Linked DNA regions of Astyanax mexicanus. The protein of the gene in region 1 interacts with the protein of each later gene in a pairwise test. Links are inferred from orthologs where the notes say so. Each region holds a gene or a part of one and is shown on either strand. Other genes may lie near its edges.

Evidence for each region.
Region 2: the proteins of klhl41b (region 1) and nebulin-related-anchoring protein interact in binary tests that used the Homo sapiens proteins (3 or more experiments, as listed by UniProt). The link is inferred for Astyanax mexicanus from reciprocal best matches to the Homo sapiens genes KLHL41 and NRAP.

Annotation. Positions count from the first base shown.
Region 1 is NC_064412.1:53,826,917-53,836,437, reverse strand, and holds the start of klhl41b (kelch-like protein 41b), read left to right. Parts: upstream 1-5,753; 5' UTR 5,754-5,880; coding exon 5,881-6,999; intron 7,000-8,072; coding exon 8,073-8,230; intron 8,231-8,650; coding exon 8,651-8,758; intron 8,759-9,521. Other genes in the region: col28a2b (collagen alpha-1(XXVIII) chain), read left to right, coding at 1-65, 154-388, 1,112-1,303, 1,950-1,957. UniProt on the Homo sapiens protein: Involved in skeletal muscle development and differentiation. Regulates proliferation and differentiation of myoblasts and plays a role in myofibril assembly by promoting lateral fusion of adjacent thin fibrils into mature, wide myofibrils.
Region 2 is NC_064422.1:32,367,987-32,376,648, reverse strand, and holds the start of nebulin-related-anchoring protein, read left to right. Parts: upstream 1-4,848; 5' UTR 4,849-5,024; coding exon 5,025-5,096; intron 5,097-5,438; coding exon 5,439-5,533; intron 5,534-5,754; coding exon 5,755-5,842; intron 5,843-7,933; coding exon 7,934-8,038; intron 8,039-8,138; coding exon 8,139-8,243; intron 8,244-8,348; coding exon 8,349-8,453; intron 8,454-8,662. UniProt on the Homo sapiens protein: May be involved in anchoring the terminal actin filaments in the myofibril to the membrane and in transmitting tension from the myofibrils to the extracellular matrix.

The DNA.
Region 1 (9,521 bases):
GAACTTATACACACTCAACACATACTGGCAGGGGAGACAGTCTGCCTGCGCCAGTCACTCCAGACGTAAGTATAGTATAGTATTGTGTGTGTGTGTGTTATACAAGTTATTGCTTTATTTTAAAGGGTTTTTTATTTTTGTGAATTTTTTAAGGTCACCCGAGGGCCAGACACCACACACACATACACACGCACCACTCCAGAGCGCAGTGGCAGTGTAGAGATCCTACCAGACAACAGAACATCTTCACACAGCAGACCATCTTCAGCAGGATCCACATCATCATCATCCTCATCATCATCTTCATCATCATCATCATCATCAACTGTGATAACATCCTCTGGTTCAGTGCAGTACATCCCTGCCCCTCGACCACCTCTACCAAAAGGTAAGTACCAACATATACAGACATATTTTAACACACTTTACTCCCTTACGTGCTTCAGTTTTGATTATGTTGTCAGTAGGAAGGTTCTGACACCTGAGTCAGTTGAGTTATTATGATTTATAATTTATTTTAATTATTAAGGGCCAGTATTAAGATTATCAAGCACTAACTTTTTATAAGAATATTTTTTCTAACCTAAAACACATCACTCTAGATCCTACTACTCCCCATTTGTAAAGTCAGATTTACAAGTCATATTAAAGTATTAAAGTTTACTATTAAAGCTGTAAGAGCAACATTTAACACAGAACATGCAAGCTTTCTGGAGAACCTGAAATATTCTGAAATATTCAAATTAAATAATGTAGCAAAATGTTCATATATAAAAAAAATTACATATTTAAAATTAAAATGTATATATCATTATGCAGTACTTTTTTTTCCTGATGTCCCATGTTGTCATTAAATGCAATATCTCAGCATGCTACACATAAAGAAGTAAGAACTAGTGTGACACTATGTCATTTATAGCACATGATATTTATGTAACAGACAAAGGCATTGGACTTGGCTGGTCTCTACAACAATTTTTGAGTCCATCTCACCCTGAGACCGAAATGAGACAGAGATGACAGTCTTTAGACTGGTCTTCAAGCCAAGACCAGACTCTAAGTACTACAACACCAGTAATAACATATCATATTGTGTCTCCTCTCTGGTCAGAAATCGTACCCCTGGACCCTCGCTGTGAGCTGACCCTAGACCAGGGTCCATGCCGTGAATATAATATCCGCTGGTATTACGACAAGCAGGCCAACGCCTGCGCCCAGTTCTGGTACGGAGGCTGTGATGGAAACCGGAACCGCTTTGATACAGAGGAAGAGTGTAAAAAGACCTGTGTGGTCTCACAAGCAGGTAATTACTCGCATTTAAACATACAGTCACAATTTTACCCTTAATCTTAAAAAAGTACACCATATAGTTGAATAAATGTCAGCATGCACGCACATCATAATCAAATTACTGAGTAATCCAATCATTGGGTTTACCTAAATTTGGTCAATGATTGGATTTTTGCTTTGTAACCAGCCAATAACTTCACAGAATAAGACACAACATAAAAATCATGTAAAAACTCAAAATTCACACTGAAATTTTATCACATCAAGCTTTAATATGAACATCATTTCAGTGTCACTCTATTTGTGGTACCATGCTCTTTTCTTTTACATGTGCAAATACTGATTATAATATTCACTCTGGTTCAGAGTGTACATGAAGTGAAAAAACACAATTACTGAACAGAATTTCAGCTCTCTTTATCTTATTTGTAATCTATTTATTTTTGTTATCCAGTTTTATAGAAACATTTGCAAAAAAAAAAGTGAACAGACATTGTTTTACTGTCCTTTTTTAATTCCCATCCAGGCTCTCCATATTTAATTTTTTTAATCGGATTTTTGTTTAACGAAAACTGCACCAATCTTACTTACTTGATGTAACTGGTTATCATCAGCATCTACAAATATACTGTATAATTCTCCCTGGTTTGTTCTCACAGGAGGATGATGAACACAGAAGATCTTTGTGATAGAAGATTGACTGTTGTTGGATTAGTATCTGTAATACCTCAACGATCGAGCTCACTGAGAAATGTGCACATAATTGCTGAAATACTGTATGTTGAGTATTTCATTGTACTGCATCAGTGACTTGCTGTGTAAATACTTAATTTTCTTTATTAGCCAATTTCAATTCAAGTATATTTTAGCTCCAGTTGTATTTGTTTTCCTGTTCCTATTCATTTCTAGTCCTTTTTTAGTGATGTATTCCACAACCCACTTGAAACAGTGAGACAGTGAATGTCAGAAGAGTTATTAAAAACCTGCTTCTTATTTGGGAATTGTTTAATTTATGGGGACAATGGTGTCCTTCATTGTCTTTATAATTGTGTCCTAATAGAAAGCAGCAAAAGCCTAATTTAAGAGCACAGAGTCAAGTGAAGGGTTCATCCTCACATATTCAATCCGCCCAGATCTCAGATGCTATGGATTGACTTGAAGAGAGATGTACTTCTAAAGCATCCAAGGGATATGAGAGAGCTAAAGCAGTTCTGCAGGAATAATGGGCAAAAATTTAACGAAGTGCAGATCTGATCCACAGCTACAGAAAGTGCCTGGTTGAGGTTATTCCTGCAATTTTTCCACCACCACTTTTAGTGTTGAATGAGTCATCAAAGACCTGCAACATCATATATATATATATATATATATATATATATATATATATATATATATATATATATATATATATATATATATATATATTATTTTATTTTAGCACATTATATCTGTCAATATCCTTAACTTGAATGATCAGTCCACATTTTATGAAAAATGTATGCATAAACACATGAAACTGCAAAGGATTCACATACATATTTTACTTTCCACTGTATATGGTTGGATATCCCCCCAATCTGCTTATTTTCAGAGCTTGAGCCCTCCCCGCACCAACCCTCTGACTCTTTAATGCAGTTAAATTAGTTTTACACATCAGAAACATCATATTTCCATATTATGTCCTCATTTGGAGATACTGCTGTATGCAATATTAGACTTAACTTTTGTACTGATCCAACCCTACAGTGCCTCTGTGTTTAGAACCAGGCCACTGACGAAGGGCTAAAGGACTAGTGCAATCCATCAACAGATAGGTTTGCTACAGTCTCTAAATGTACATCAGGATATAAACTGAACACTGATTGTTTGACGGGTGCATTATGTATTTAAGGCCATTACCTGATTTGTTGTGAACAGTTGCTATTGTATAATGAACACTGTCAATACTGCAATTTTATGTTTTTGATGTTAGGACATCCTTTGATATTTCTTTATAGGTTTTGTATCATTTTGTGTGTTGTAATCCAAGTTTAATATAGCATACTTTTTTATAAAATAAAAAATGTTACTGAAAAATTATGTTTTACCTTTTTGAACATTCTCAGCACAATGTAAAATAATTTGTCTGATGGCAGTTTAACTGAATATGCAGAATACCGCATGCCTGCCCATAATTAGGCACATGCTGCTGTTTTATGTTAGGTTTATCGGGTTAATTAGAGTTTAAGCACCAAAATAGTTTTTTTATATGACTGAAAATGGTTATTCTATGCCATCACTCTTTATTTTAAAAGAATGTATCTTGGGGTAGCGTAGGACAAGAACATTTAATAGCAACTCTAAATCAAAACGTTTGGACAGTATGATTTTTTTTCCCCCACTATAACGGTTAGTTGAGCCAGTTGGGTTATTTTGCCTGGTCATTTACATAGTGCTGGGCATAATCAAAAATTGGATAAAGTTGGGACAGTAGGTAAAATGCAAATAAACAAAATAAATGCAGTGTTTCTTGCATGTGGTTTGGATTTAATTTTTATCAATTCATAAAAATGCATATCAAAAGGTGATTGTAATCACGATTTGGTCAATAATGAGCAGATAAATTAGTAAAAATAACACAAACTCATACTGTTAAACAAGTGGTATATGATTCTCTGTTACAATTTTTTTTTATGTTTTGCAGGCCTAAAACACATATGCATTTGACATTGTATCCAGCATGCTGGAAATAACAGAGCAAAATAAACCAACAGGCTCAAACCAGCATTAGAGTAGGAAAAAAATAACCCAAAAGCTTTGTTCAGCTGTTGTAACTATTCATTTTGGTCAACAACAGCTTACTAAGCCAAGCTCACTGATTCACATGGTCAGTTTTTTACTGCGTCATCTGCTGTGTGCTGGCTAACAGACGACGCTCACTCACTTACTCTTACACTCCCCTATTGGCATCATTCTCTCTGTGATTGGGGGGGTGAGGTGGGTTGTGTGTGTGAGACAGAGTACCCCCCTCTGTCTTTCGCGCTTTTGACTTAAGTTACATATAACTACCACACACACACACACACACACACACACACACAGGCCTGTTTTAATTATAGTACTATCTCCAACACAACACACGACCCTCTCACTCTAAACTGTTTTCCATGAAATCATAAGATCAGATTCAAAATAAGACTGGAATCCGGCTTCTAAACCAGATTTGTGATTATTATAGTCTATATCAATCAAAGTTTATGATTTGGAAAGAAATATTTTAAATATTTGAGTGTCCTGTAAACTTTGAATATATTTGTGCCATAATTACAGTTCCTATAGATATGTAACATGAAGCATAGAAGCAAAGAACAATAATGAGGTTCCAGTGACTCTAAAACGCTTGATCAAGAGTGTGTGCATGTGTGTGTGTGTGTGGAGGGGGTGGGGAGGGTGGGGTTGGGTGCTGTCACCTGTTGTAGCAGCTGCTTCCCATCACTGTCACTCTGATCTTAGATGTGCTACCATTCACACAAACACACACACACACACAAATGTACAAGTAAAATACATACCACCGAACAAAACATTATACATCTTTACAATGCAACTTCAGAAATGTTATCATGTGAACTTTTACAGAAGTACAAATAGGTTTTATAGATTTAGATAAAATTTTATAGATTATAGACACATTCAGTGTCATATCATTGTAATTGTGATAAGTATGATTCAGCTCATTAAAGCATAAATGAAGAAGAAATTGGAGGCAAAGTTAGATTACCAAGATGAATATTTTTTGATCCTCTATTTTTCTATTGATTTTTTATTTATTTATTCTGTTATTTCTGTTTATATTCTGTTTTTATTCTCTTTTACTTAACATAGTCCATCCATGCTGCTGTTTGCCATGTTTGTGCCATTCAAATTAATGGGGAAAAAATTAGGAATGTATACTGAACGTGTGTGTTATTGATTATGTAAATTGTTAGAGCACATAAAAATACAATATTTACAGCAAATTTAACTTCTCAGAACCTCTAGTTTTTTTCTGCTGCTGGAACAGCTCACTCAATTTATATCGCCAAATTAAAGTTAACAGTTCTTTGCCAAAATAAAATGGAAAATGTTTAACGGAAAATTTATAATACCTGTATTAGGTAGTGCCTTGCGGAACTTAAAAAGGTTAAAATATTGTTATAATTAAAAGACTCCTGATTAATAAATTATTTAGTAGAATTTGTAATTTAATGTATTTCATTATGTGTTAATATTAAAATATTACACAAAAACAGTGAAACACAGTTTTAAACTTAAGGGTTAAATCCTGGTTAGGCCTCTGCAGCCTGTTTTACTGTGACAACTGCTGTCATTGCACTCCCCCTACTCACAGACGGACAGGGGGAACAGGGGGAGCTGCAGAGGGGAGGAGGGTCCAGCCCAGGTTAAATTTAGAAAGCCCAGATTAAATAACAGCTTTTTCAAGCTGCAGATCTTTTTGGTGGTCTGTCCTTTTCCAGCCAGGACTGTGTGGCAAGCAGAAGCCACCCTCTCTCCTCTCTTTCTTCCTCCTTTCTTCTTTGTCCTCCACCACTTACCCTCCTATCCACTGCCATGGATCCCAAAGCACTGAAGGAAGAACTGCGGCTGTTCCAAAGCACGCTGCTGCAGGACGGCCTGAAGGAGCTGCTGAACGAGAACAAGTTTGTGGACTGCACTCTGAAAGTGGGTGACCGCTGCTTTCCATGCCATCGCCTCATTCTGGCCGCATGCAGCCCCTACTTCAGAGAGATCTTCTTCTCTGAAGATGGAAAGATCAAAGAAGACCTCAAAGAGGTCGCCGTGGATGACGTTGACCCCAATGTTCTGGACATGATCATTAAATACCTCTACTCTGCTGAAATCGAGCTGACCGATGACAATGTTCAGGAGATATTCGCAGTCGCTAACCGCTTCCAGATTCCCTCTGTGTTCACGGTTTGTGTGAACTATCTGCAGAAGAAGTTGTCCATGGTCAACTGCCTGGCCATCTTCAGGCTCGGCCTGATCCTCAACGTGCCCAGGCTAGCCGTATCTGCCCGCGATTTTATTGCGGATCGCTTCGAAAGCCTGATGGACGAAGAGGAATTCCTGCAGCTGGCGCCTCATGAACTCTTTGCCCTCATTGGTGGAGACATGCTGAACGTGGAGAAGGAGGAAGTGGTGTTCGAGTCGCTAATGAAGTGGGTGCGAAGCGACAAGGAGAAGCGTGTCAAGTCTCTGGGTGAAGCCTTCGAATTCATCCGCTTCCGCCTCTTACCGGAAAAGTACTTCCAAGAGAAAGTAGAAAACGATGACATCATTAAGGCCGATCCAGAACTCCTGAAGAAACTGCAGGTCATCAAAGATGCCTTCAAAGGGAAACTTCCCGAGATGAAAAAGAAGGAGAAGAAGGAAGGAGAGGTGAATGGAGAAGAAGGAGGAGAGGAGGAAGAAGAAGAGATGTTGCCAGGTTTCCTGAACGACAACCGCAGGCTAGGGATGTATGGGCGTAATTTAATCCTCATGATTAATGACACAGCGGCGGTGGCGTATGACGTGGTAGAAAACGAATGCTTCCTGGCGGCCATGGCCGAACAAGTGCCCAAGAACCACATCAGCCACTGCTCCAAGAGGAACGAGCTGTTTGTCATTGGTGGTCTGTTCGTTGACGAAGACAACAAAGAAGCACCACTCCAGTGCTACTTCTACCAGGTAGGTCATAATATTTTAACTCACAGACAAAAGAGTGACAATTGTGGAAATTTCCTTGCATTTCTATGCAAAAATTACCTTGTACAACGACACAAATAGTACCACATTTCCCCATAGATGTTTTCTTGCTGATTTATCTCAAAATGTATTGTTGATCATTCAAAAACCTCTGTTGAGTTGGATTTTGTACAGTGTAAAAACATTTCATTTGTTTACTTTTGTGCAAATTGCTGTATGTGTAGAGAATACAGTGTTTTAAAGGATCAGGGAGTTAAATAGTCAAATATTTCCCAGGTCCAGAAGGTCTGGTGTCATGGTGTGGGGTGCAACTTATGGCCCTATGACTTTGGCGCACTAATCCATTAAGACAATGCTCGTCCAACTGCTGCAGACTCAAGAGTATGCCACATTGCCAGACATAGCTCTGAATGAAAAGAGGTGGGATACCAAATATTCAAAGCTCTATTGGATGGATTACCACAGAACACCATTAGGAACCTCTACAACTCCAAACCCAGATGTCTGCCATCTTGTGATACACATGCATACACTACTTATATATGTGTAGCTCAATATATATGACAAAGTGTTTCCGAAATCAGTAAAAAAAAGCATTGCAATTTGGCACTTCTTTCTATGTGCAACTATTCTATGTGTATTTTTGCAACCATTTGGATAACTATAGATAACTGGCACTGAAAATAAAGTGAAATCACTAGCGTTACTTCATAGCAGTTTCCTAAGATGCGGCGCTGTGTTATCTAAAGAAACACAAAGATCAGATTGGTATTGGCTGACAATCAGCACAAAAATACTTGGATTTGATCAGGACGTCAGGTTAAGTAAATAATAACATACTCAGTTTGCAAAGTGAGTCAACCAACTGCATGAAGAACAGAAATCTAAAAGTCAGTTTGGCTTATAAAAATTATCATCTGTGAGACCGCAAAACTATCATGACCAATTTTGTCTAATTCATAAATTCTGTTATTCAACAGAACAATTCTAAAAAAATGTTTTAACTGTATTATTGATATTAAAACACTGACTAATCAGTTGTGATTTTATTTCAGTTGGACAGTCTTACATCTGATTGGGTAGCACTGCCACCCATGCCAAGCCCAAGATGCCTCTTTGGTTTGGGTGAATATAATGGTCTGCTGTTCGCTATCGCTGGTAAAGACCTGCAGACCAACGAGTCCCTGGATTCTGTAATGTGTTACGATACTGAGTGAGTAACGTCAATCTGTCATTCTCCTATCATTCTCTTATTGTGTCTTTCAGTTAGAAATGTATACTATCCCAAAGTATTTAGATATCTGCTCTTCTGAAATCAATGGGGATAAAAATGAGCCTATTCTACTTGTGTTGTGAATTTGCAACTTTAAAAGTAGCCGAATGCATTCATAATAGGGGTGTCCACAAGCATTTGGACAAGCAAATGGAATGCAGAGTACTAAACACATTGACATGTAGTCATGTTGTAGTTTGTTTAATAATGTTGCCAAAACTAGTTATTAATTAAAACTATATTAATTCAGCTGTGAATAAGCTGTGGTTTATTTTAGTGTTTTTCCCATTTATATTCTTTTTCATCATTCTTTTGTCTACTTCTGCTTAATGGAAATTTTATCATATGTCATTTTTACAGGAAGATGAAATGGAGCGAGACAAAGAAACTTCCACTCCGCATCCACGGCCATTCAGTAGTCTCACATAATGGCCTGATTTATTGCATTGGAGGCAAGACAGATGATAAGTAAGTGTGTGTATGTGTTTGTGTGTTCTTTGGAGGGTTGGTAACCTAAGTCTTACTACCATGTTATAGACCAGTAGTTTCTAACCCTGGTCCCAAAGGACCCCTCGCCCCCATATGTTTGTGTTTAACCTGCTTCCATACACCTTGAATTCTGAGATTAAGGTGGTGTGTCCAGCAGGAAACCAATAAAACTCCTCCAGGACTAGGATTGGGAACCACTGGTATAGACGGTCCTTGTTAGTTCTCTATAGGTATTTTCAGTAGTAAATATATTACTATTGCTGTGGTAATAATATTGGTAATAATTAAAAACAGAAAAAAACAGTTGGCTTAGTTGTTTGAGGCCCTATGGAAAATAATTCATGTTTTGTTTATTTGTCAATGCTATTGGTTACACACTTCTATATTTTTTTTCTAAAAAAAAAAGAAATGTTGCAATAAAATGTTCATTTTTTTGCTTAATCAAATATAATCATGTGAAATTTCTTGAATGCTCAAATTGTCTCATGAGCTTTCTTTGTGAAAGATCATTGTGAAAAAAACTCATACAAAAAGATGGCCTCTTAGTAATATTGATATAACTAGGTTTCTACTTTATGAATTTTATGAAAAACAAATCTTTTTACATGAGCTTCTATTGAAAGTCAAGTTCTTTCCTTCTTCTGTTGCCACCTTAAATAGAAAGCTTTTGAGTGACCATCACTATGTTAAATAGTAATGATACTGTATTATATACAGTAAAACCTTAAATTTGAGTTTTTAT
Region 2 (8,662 bases), on another chromosome or scaffold:
TTGCTTGAGATCATCTATCTTCCTATTGATTATATTCCAGAGTTTTTCAGTTTCAGTAAAATTGAAGAAACTCATCATTTTAAGTGGTCTCTTTTTTTCCAGAGGTGTAGTTAGCCTACTAACTAGTTAGTTAGCCACCTAGCTACTGTTGGCGGTTAACCATTTCCTGCAACTATAAAAACTCGCCAATTCAGTACGTTATACTGGTAAATATGAACACAAGGAGACAGCTGAATATATATAACGTTAGCTATTTAACTCGTAAACGGATCGATTTAAGATAGCAAATTGGACATATACTGAACAGGGGATGATGTTAGGTGCTGTATAGTAGCTTTTAAAAACATATTAGCGCTTTCTAAAAGGAAATGTAGAAAGTATAACCTGTGCTAAGCTAAACTTAAGCTAACATAGCTAACTCATCTTTTCCTGCCCACTACAACTCAGCAGCAGCAGCTGCAGTCACCGCCTACAGACACCCAGACTAACACAAACCCTCCTCAGAAGGAATAATACTCACTAAAATCACGTAAAGTTGGCTACCTAGTTAAATTATGTAGTTATACGGCAGTTCTGAGCAGCTCCAGTCCAAACGGTCGCACAGCTCCGCGAAAGGAAAAAGAAACAGAGAGAAGTGAAAAAGAAACTTTCCTGTGAGTAAACTGCCCTGTGTACAGTAGGCATACCAGCTTATCATTTAAAGAGACAGGCACCGTCTTCAGATAATGGGCTGCCCCAGGTCCAAGACGAATTTCCTCATTTGTAGGCTTTATAAATTCTAGTCAGTAACAGCGTTTTACAGGATAATCTCAAGGTATGTGTCAATAAACCAAAGCTTAACCATAACCCCTAAGTAATACAGCAAACCGACAGCCTTAACCCTCTTTGGTATGATGCTATCATCATCCAACAAACCAAACTTTTGTTTTTTACTAGTGCTGCAATGATTGTGATTGTGTTTTTTTCGATTAGTCGATTAGTCAGCGATTATTTTGTGATGTCTCTAAAAACGATAGAAATAACTGAACATGAGGCTTAAAGTGGCTTTAAATGTCTATATATTGTTTAAAACGTGGTGATAATTCATGAATAAATATGCAGGGCTCCAGACAAAAAAAAAATTAAGGAGCCAGTGACTCCTAAAATAAATAATTTGGGCGCCAATATTTTTTTCCAAGTGCCAAACAATAATGCTGAGTCTTTACTGCAGAAGGTGTGCTTATGGTACACTCCAACTCCACACCAATTGCTTTCAGCTTAGGCTTGCTTTTGGGGCTAATTGGAAGGGATTTTTGAGTGTTCAGGATTGCCAGTTCCAGTCTTTGAGGCAAACATGAAATGAGAGAATATGTTTTCCTATCTCACTTCTAAAGAGTGGCCCTTGTTCTGTCGAGTGTATATTTAACGATAAAAACTCAAAAGAAGCTCAATGTTAGAGCATGTTTGCAGTAGAAGTCCCCAGTAGATGTAGTGTTAGTATATTTTTATAACATAAATCACTGTATCATGGTAAATTTAAGGCAATGAGAGTTCATTACAAACTGCTTTTTTGTATTTAAATTATAATTAATAAATTATTGTATTTATTATTATTATTATTAATTTGTATTTACACTCTTGTGCAATGTGAGTCCAGGTTGTTTTATGCACAAAAAATAGATTTGTCATAAAAAACACGAGACATTATCAAAACGTGTAGGTTTGCACTTGCGCAGTGCCTTTAGGAAGCACGTATTGATGGGTAGCATAACTTGACAAAACACCGGTACACCGGTAGACCACCAGAAACGTGTCTTCAATAAGCGATTACGTAAAACTGCCGGGCACATCAGTCCCACAGTCAGTGATATACTTAACTTTCTGGGCTTCTGTCACGATCTTTGACGAGCTTTGACGTTGTCTGCTATAACGTTACATCCTACAAACTCGGCACAAGCTGAGTCATTATCATACGTTTTCGACACATACAGGCCATTTTTTTCTTATTAACAAGACGGGGTAGTTTCTCACGTGCATGTAGGCTCTATTAAATTTAATTTTTCAGTTTTATCACATGTGCGAGCTAAGGGAGGTTTTGTCGGAGCACACTAAAAAACAGTCGCGTGCATTTTTATGCTTTCGACTCTCTCCGTGTTTTTTCTTTTTTTTTTAAACGATGCGTTCCTGGTACAAAATACGTGTTTCCAGCGATATCTTTGCTTACTTTCGAACTGAATTCGCAGTACATTGCGGCCAAGAAGTTTTGAAATGTCTGTGGTTGTACTTTTCTTTATGGAAGCCCATTTCCGCCACCTGAAGAAAAAAAAACGTCCTCAACTAAGTCATAATTATGAGATAGAAAAGTAATAATTATGGGATAGTAAGTCATATTTATGAGATAAAAAGTCATAATTATGAGATAGTAAGTCATAATTATGAGATAGTAAGTCATAATTATGAAATAAAAAAGTCATAATTATGAGATAGAAAGTCATAATTATGAGATAGAAAGTCATAGTTATGAGATGACTTTTTATCTCATAAATATGACTTACTATCTCATAATTATGACTTTTTATCTCATAATTATGACTTACTATCTCATAATTATGACTTACTATCTCATAATTATGACTTACTATCCCATAATTATGACTTTTCTATCTCATAATTATGACTTACTATCTCATAATTATGACTTTTTTATCTCATAAATATGACTTACTATCTCATAATTATGACTTTTTTATCTCATAATTATGACTTACTATCTCATAATTATGACTTACTATCCCATAATTATGACTTTTCTATCTCATAATTATGACTTTTTTTATCTCATAATTATGACTTATTATCTCATAATTATGACTTACTATCTCATAATTATGACTTACTATCTCATAATTATGACTTACTATCCCATAATTATGACTTTTCTATCTCATAATTATGACTTAGTTGAGGACGTTTTTTTTTCTTCAGGTGGCGGAAATGGGCTTCCATATTTCTTGGATGTTCATCTTCGTCTGCATTTTCCAGTGCAAACTGCGGGCCAATGGATAAAAGCTCAGCTTAGCTACGCTGCTGTGGTAGTTACGTCTGAGGTAAAGCAAGGCTTTTTTTTTGAGGTAGGCAAAAACGTCCATATGATTGGGCGCCGTAGTATAGTTACATCGATAAACACAACCAAAAAAAAGCAAAAAATAAATAAATAAATAAATAAACGCAAAAAACCCTACTTTGCCACCTGTCGCCACTGGCGACTTAATTAATTTTATAAATCGCAAAAAAATATTTTTGGTCGCATTTGCGACCATTTTAGTCCTGATATGTAATCTGTTGAGTTTAGGCACTATTGGAGACACAGGCTAAGTTGAGTGTAAACTGTGTGAGTGAGCCATTTACCCATGTCCTATTGTACTTCTGTCCCCAGCACTTTGTGTAATGCAGTACTGTTACAAATTAACTATTAATCTACAAGGAAATTTGTAGTCGACAAAGTTGAATAATCAACAGTTATATCGACTAATTGTTGCAGCCATAGTTATTTCATACCACAACTTAATTTTTTATGTATTTATTATTTTATAACATTTTATTAAATGTTACATAAAAAAATATATAACATGAATAAAAGGCATACCTATGACCAATGCAATGAGCCATACAAGTGGATCATAAAAAAAAAAAACATGGTCTGAAAAAAAGTTCAAAAGTCTCCCAAATAGTGCTGTGATTGTTTTCCCCAAAAAATACAATTCATGCCGTAAAGGTCTAAGCACACAAGTAAGTATAAAAAAAATTGAATGTCCAATTCGAAGTCCAGAACATATTTGTGGCACTCCTGCTTGATGATTAATAATTAATATTGTAGGTTATGTAGCTTATTAATCTCAAAAACTCATCCGTATTCAAATGTGCTTTAGCTGCCGTAAACCCAGCCTTATGATGTAGTAATCAATGTAGTATTACTGTAGTTCATTGAGTCATATTACATTAACTCTGTAAGGTCATAGATTATAGTGTGTTAAATAAAAGCGGACAGACACAGCAGAGTCTCAGTTTCATCCACTGTATTTTCATCTCTAAGGTTTTAATTAAGATTTAAATATACACAAATTAATGTACGTACGTATATTTGCAGCACTCCCTGTGGCAATATAGGGTTTGATTCACTGGTTTGCAAGCACATAACACTACAACAATTACAACATTTTTTACACCGCACACTTTCCAAATGTAAAAGTGTTTCAAACATTCACTGTTTGAGCCATTGGAATTTAAGTTCAGAGTACTAAACTATTTGAATAGCGGAATTGGCTTAATGTGTATCCTTATTATTGTGAATAAATGGGTAAAATTATGTTGTGTTGTGAAGAAAACCAAATATCGGCTTATATATCGGCCATTGCCCACTTGTGATCTCTAAATATTGGCAAGGGTTGTTCACTAAAATAAAATACCAATATCATTTTGCATCCCTACTTGTGAGTGGTAAATTAATTGTATAAATTTCTCTTTTCTTTCTCTTTTTCTTTCTCTTTGCTTTTGGACGGACTAAAAACGGCAACGATGACAGAGCATGGTCAAAGAAAGCATATAGGTAATGCCGCTATTACACATACACCTAGCAAGCACTAGGTCATTCCTCTATTTTTGTGTACATCTGGGGCATGTGGAGGCCGCTGTGACTAAGCTGCCCAAAAGATAACAATAAATTTAGTATTCAGTTACATACATCCAGTAGCATCTCGACCCCCTCTTAACTAACAGACAGCTGGGCAGGCTTTCAGCTGACTGACAGCAGCTAATAAGGGGTGGGACCTTGCATCCAGGTCATGTAATAGACAGAGCTGGCCTGTGAAAGACCAGAGCTAAGTTTAACACAGGTCAGAGAGTGAGACACAAGTGGGAACAGGGGACTAACTGGGACGCTTTGCCTTCCTGTTCTGTGGACTGTCCAAAGCTACTGATTTTTTAGAGAATTGGTATGCCGAGTTGGTTTTCTCTGTAGTGACGGATCCAGTGGGGAAAAACTAAACATGAATATTCAAAACTGTGCCAGGTGTGGGTTTGTGGTGTACCCAGCTGAGAAGATCAATCTCATTAGTCAGGTAAGATTGAGTGCATGTAACAATTGAGTATGCATATATTGTAATCCAAAGACATGATTAAAATAAAAACGTTTTTATTTAAGATTAAGTAAGTAAGTAAGTACATTGTAGTTAGTTAGACTGCTGTGCTTGTGTTTTATATGTGATGATGCTGGTTTAGACAAGCTAAAGATTTAGTTTGCTTAAGAAGAGTAAAAAAAAAACAGTATATATTATGGCCATACTAAATTTTTAACCATGTCTCTGTAAAATATTAAGTTATAATATCAAAACTTACTTCTAAAACATAGCTACATTGTTGGTGGTGATGCTTTCTCTGTCTGTATTCTCTCACATAAACAGAACTGGCACAAAGCATGCTTCCACTGTGAGGTCTGTAAGATGGTTCTAACTGCCAATAATTTTGTAAGCCATCAGAAGAGACCGTATTGTCAAGTGTGAGTACATGATGCCTATTCATTGCATTTTATGGAAAACTCTGTACTGGTAAATAGAAGCATTGGTTTTGCTGTTTCTCGGTTTTTACAAAGATGGGTCTGTCCCATCACTGTAAACAGTACAACCATGCTTTCTTTACTAGACACTGCCTCTAAACTACTGACCCCTTAAGTTTCTATAAGCTTTGCTTATAATCTGTGAATCTGTGGGTATTTCACAGACATAATCCACGGAACAACACCTTCACCAGCGTCTATGAAACTCCGGTCAACATCAATGCTAAGAAGCAGGCAGAGGCTGTCAGTGAGGTGAGCTTGTGATTATTTCACTGATGCTCCTGGCTGTGTTTTTCTTCTTACTGTGTCCTTTTTTTACACACATATGGTGTTCATATTGAAATAAAAAGGTAATTGTGCGTTTCATTACATCATGATTTATTCAGAGATGTATTCTAAACTGAATATATAATTAATAGATTAAAGAGTATAAAATGTAATAATCTAGCTGTTGATGATAGTAAGTCTTTTATATATTTATTTAATGTATATGGAATATGTTTTTATTATTGTAAAAAAAATCAGATCTTAAAAAAAGGAACTTGCTCTGAACTTTAGTGTTAGTATATTTTATTTCAAGTAATATTGGACCATTTCTGTTGGCCTAAATGTTTACCCATATCAAGGTTTGGTGTTTTTAAAGGTTCAAAAGAAAATGAATGTAAGATAATCAGTTATGAAGTTTGATATGACAGTAATAATATTTTATGGTGGTCTTAATCCTATATGATGCAGCAATAAATATTATTATTAGAAGAGTATAAGTAGTGTTTTATAGACTGTCTATATAATAGAATGAATGCACAAAAAATAATAATAAATGAAAGTTTGAAACATTCTTTTTTTATTTAAGGTAATTTATCTGTAAGCTTCTTCTTTATGAGAGGGTTGTAAAGCTGTTTTTAGGAGAACTCTGTAGCCCTCTGTGACTCTAGATGTTTGGAATGGGGTTTGAGTCTCTGAGCTATTTCTGTAGTGTGACAGAGACACGACACCCCTCTTGCTCTGCTTTATGCGCTTGGTGGTTAAATTTATGCTTTTGCTTCCTCGCTCACTCTTCTATATCTCTCTCTCTATCTCCCTCTCTCTCCCTCTTTCTGTCATGTTGGGAGAGCCACCTGCTCCTGTCTGTCAGTGTGCTTAAAAGTCTACATGCTCTCTGGGCTCTGCAGAGCTCCTGAACGTAGCCTATTAAAACTCCATCGTGCACATCTTTCCCCCACTTCCTGGAAAGACTTGTATGAACACAGATCATTTTCCAACTTGAAAAGATAGCACTGGCCACATGCTCTAAGTCGGCATTACTTTGTATATCTATCTTTATATGATAACTAGAATTTACTTCCCCAGTCAAGCCAGATTGGTGCTTTAGGGATATGTAATAATAGAGGTTGGCAAGTTTTAATCACTGCCACATTAGGATTATGTTGAGCCTTTAAAAATTAAGGTTCAGAAATGAAAATGAACTTTTACTTTAGTATGTGCTATGAATAATTCAGTAGTCGTGGCAACAGTATGTAATTACAGTATGTAGTTGTATGTAGTGAAAAAATAACTATAAACTCACATAAAAGCCATTTAAACTATATATTATGTATGTCTTAATATTCTGTATACTCCTCATGTCCTAAGGATCAGAATGACCCAAACACTGTTTATTTACCCAGGTGATGTTCAGCTATCATGATATAAACAAAGGCCATGTTTCTCATCAGAAATAGGTTTTGTTTAGACTTACTATCTAGGCATTTTTGTTTGCACAATAAATTGTTGCAATAAACTAAATTATTGTCATTTTAAGATTATACACCACTTGTATAGGCTAATGATAATATAATTATTTTTAATTATTAAAAACAAGCAATCCGAGATTGGAATTGAAATATAAACATTTAAAAATATCCTTAACAAATAAAAAGTAACTAAAGTAAAACAGTTTTTTTGGCTGTCTTTGCTAAAAAAAAACACAATTTGCAAGATCAAGGTCAACAAGAATGATGGCGGTCAGGTCCATCTATTTTTTGATAAATCATACATTTGATAACATAATTATCATGATTATCAAAGAAAATGTAGCACCAAAATGGTAACTTTACAAGAGTAGGCTAAAATGTTATTAAATTATCTTTTAGTTTAATGAAAATAGATTTTATTCCAAGTACTTTCAAACATTCCCGGTGGTCCACATCTCACAGAAGGTTTACACAATGTAAAGAACAGTTGCTCTGCTTAAAACAAGTAGAAATGTAGTACAGATACGTGTTTTAGATGGTACCAATGCAGGCCAACTCAATGTTTTGTGTCCTGAGCTGTGTTGAGTGTTAACACTGTGGTTCTTTTCAGATTAAATACAGAGAAGAGGGTGAGCGTTTCATGTCCACGTTCCACTATGACATGAGATCAAAGGAACTTGAGCAGGCCCGCAAGGCCAGCCAAATGACCAACCAGGTAAAATATCAGTTCACTTCTTTTCAGATCAGCTCTTCTAATGTTAAATCCAGGACTTCTGAATTGAAGGATCTCATCCATGCGCTGAAATGTCCCCCAGGCTTACCAGTCTTCAGGGTTTTCAGAGCAGCAGACATGGTACTCAGGCAGTGTAACCAGTCAGGAGATAGTTCGCATGAGTCAAGCACAGAAGACCATCAGCGATGTAAGTGATCTCACTCGAAGCTGTGTGTGAATACTGAAGTCAATGTGATGTCTGCAGTCCGTGGGAGACCAGTAAACTCATGCACCTCTGCTTACTGTGTCTTAGGTGGAGTACAAACGGGGCCATGATGAACGAGTTACACAGTTCACCTCTGTGACTGACACACCTGGAATCCTGCACGCTAAGAGTGGCACCTCACTGGCTAGTGATGTATAAACACTTTCTTCCACACTCCCACAACACTTAACATACAATTAATTTTATTAAAAATAAACATTTACATATATAATCAAAAGTACTGATTGCATACACTGACTAGCCAAAAGTCATGGGATGTCAGTATGTAAATTGATCATGAATGCTTTGTGAATGCCCACAGCTGTAAGGTTTTACACATTGGTTAATGGCCAAAGTTTAAG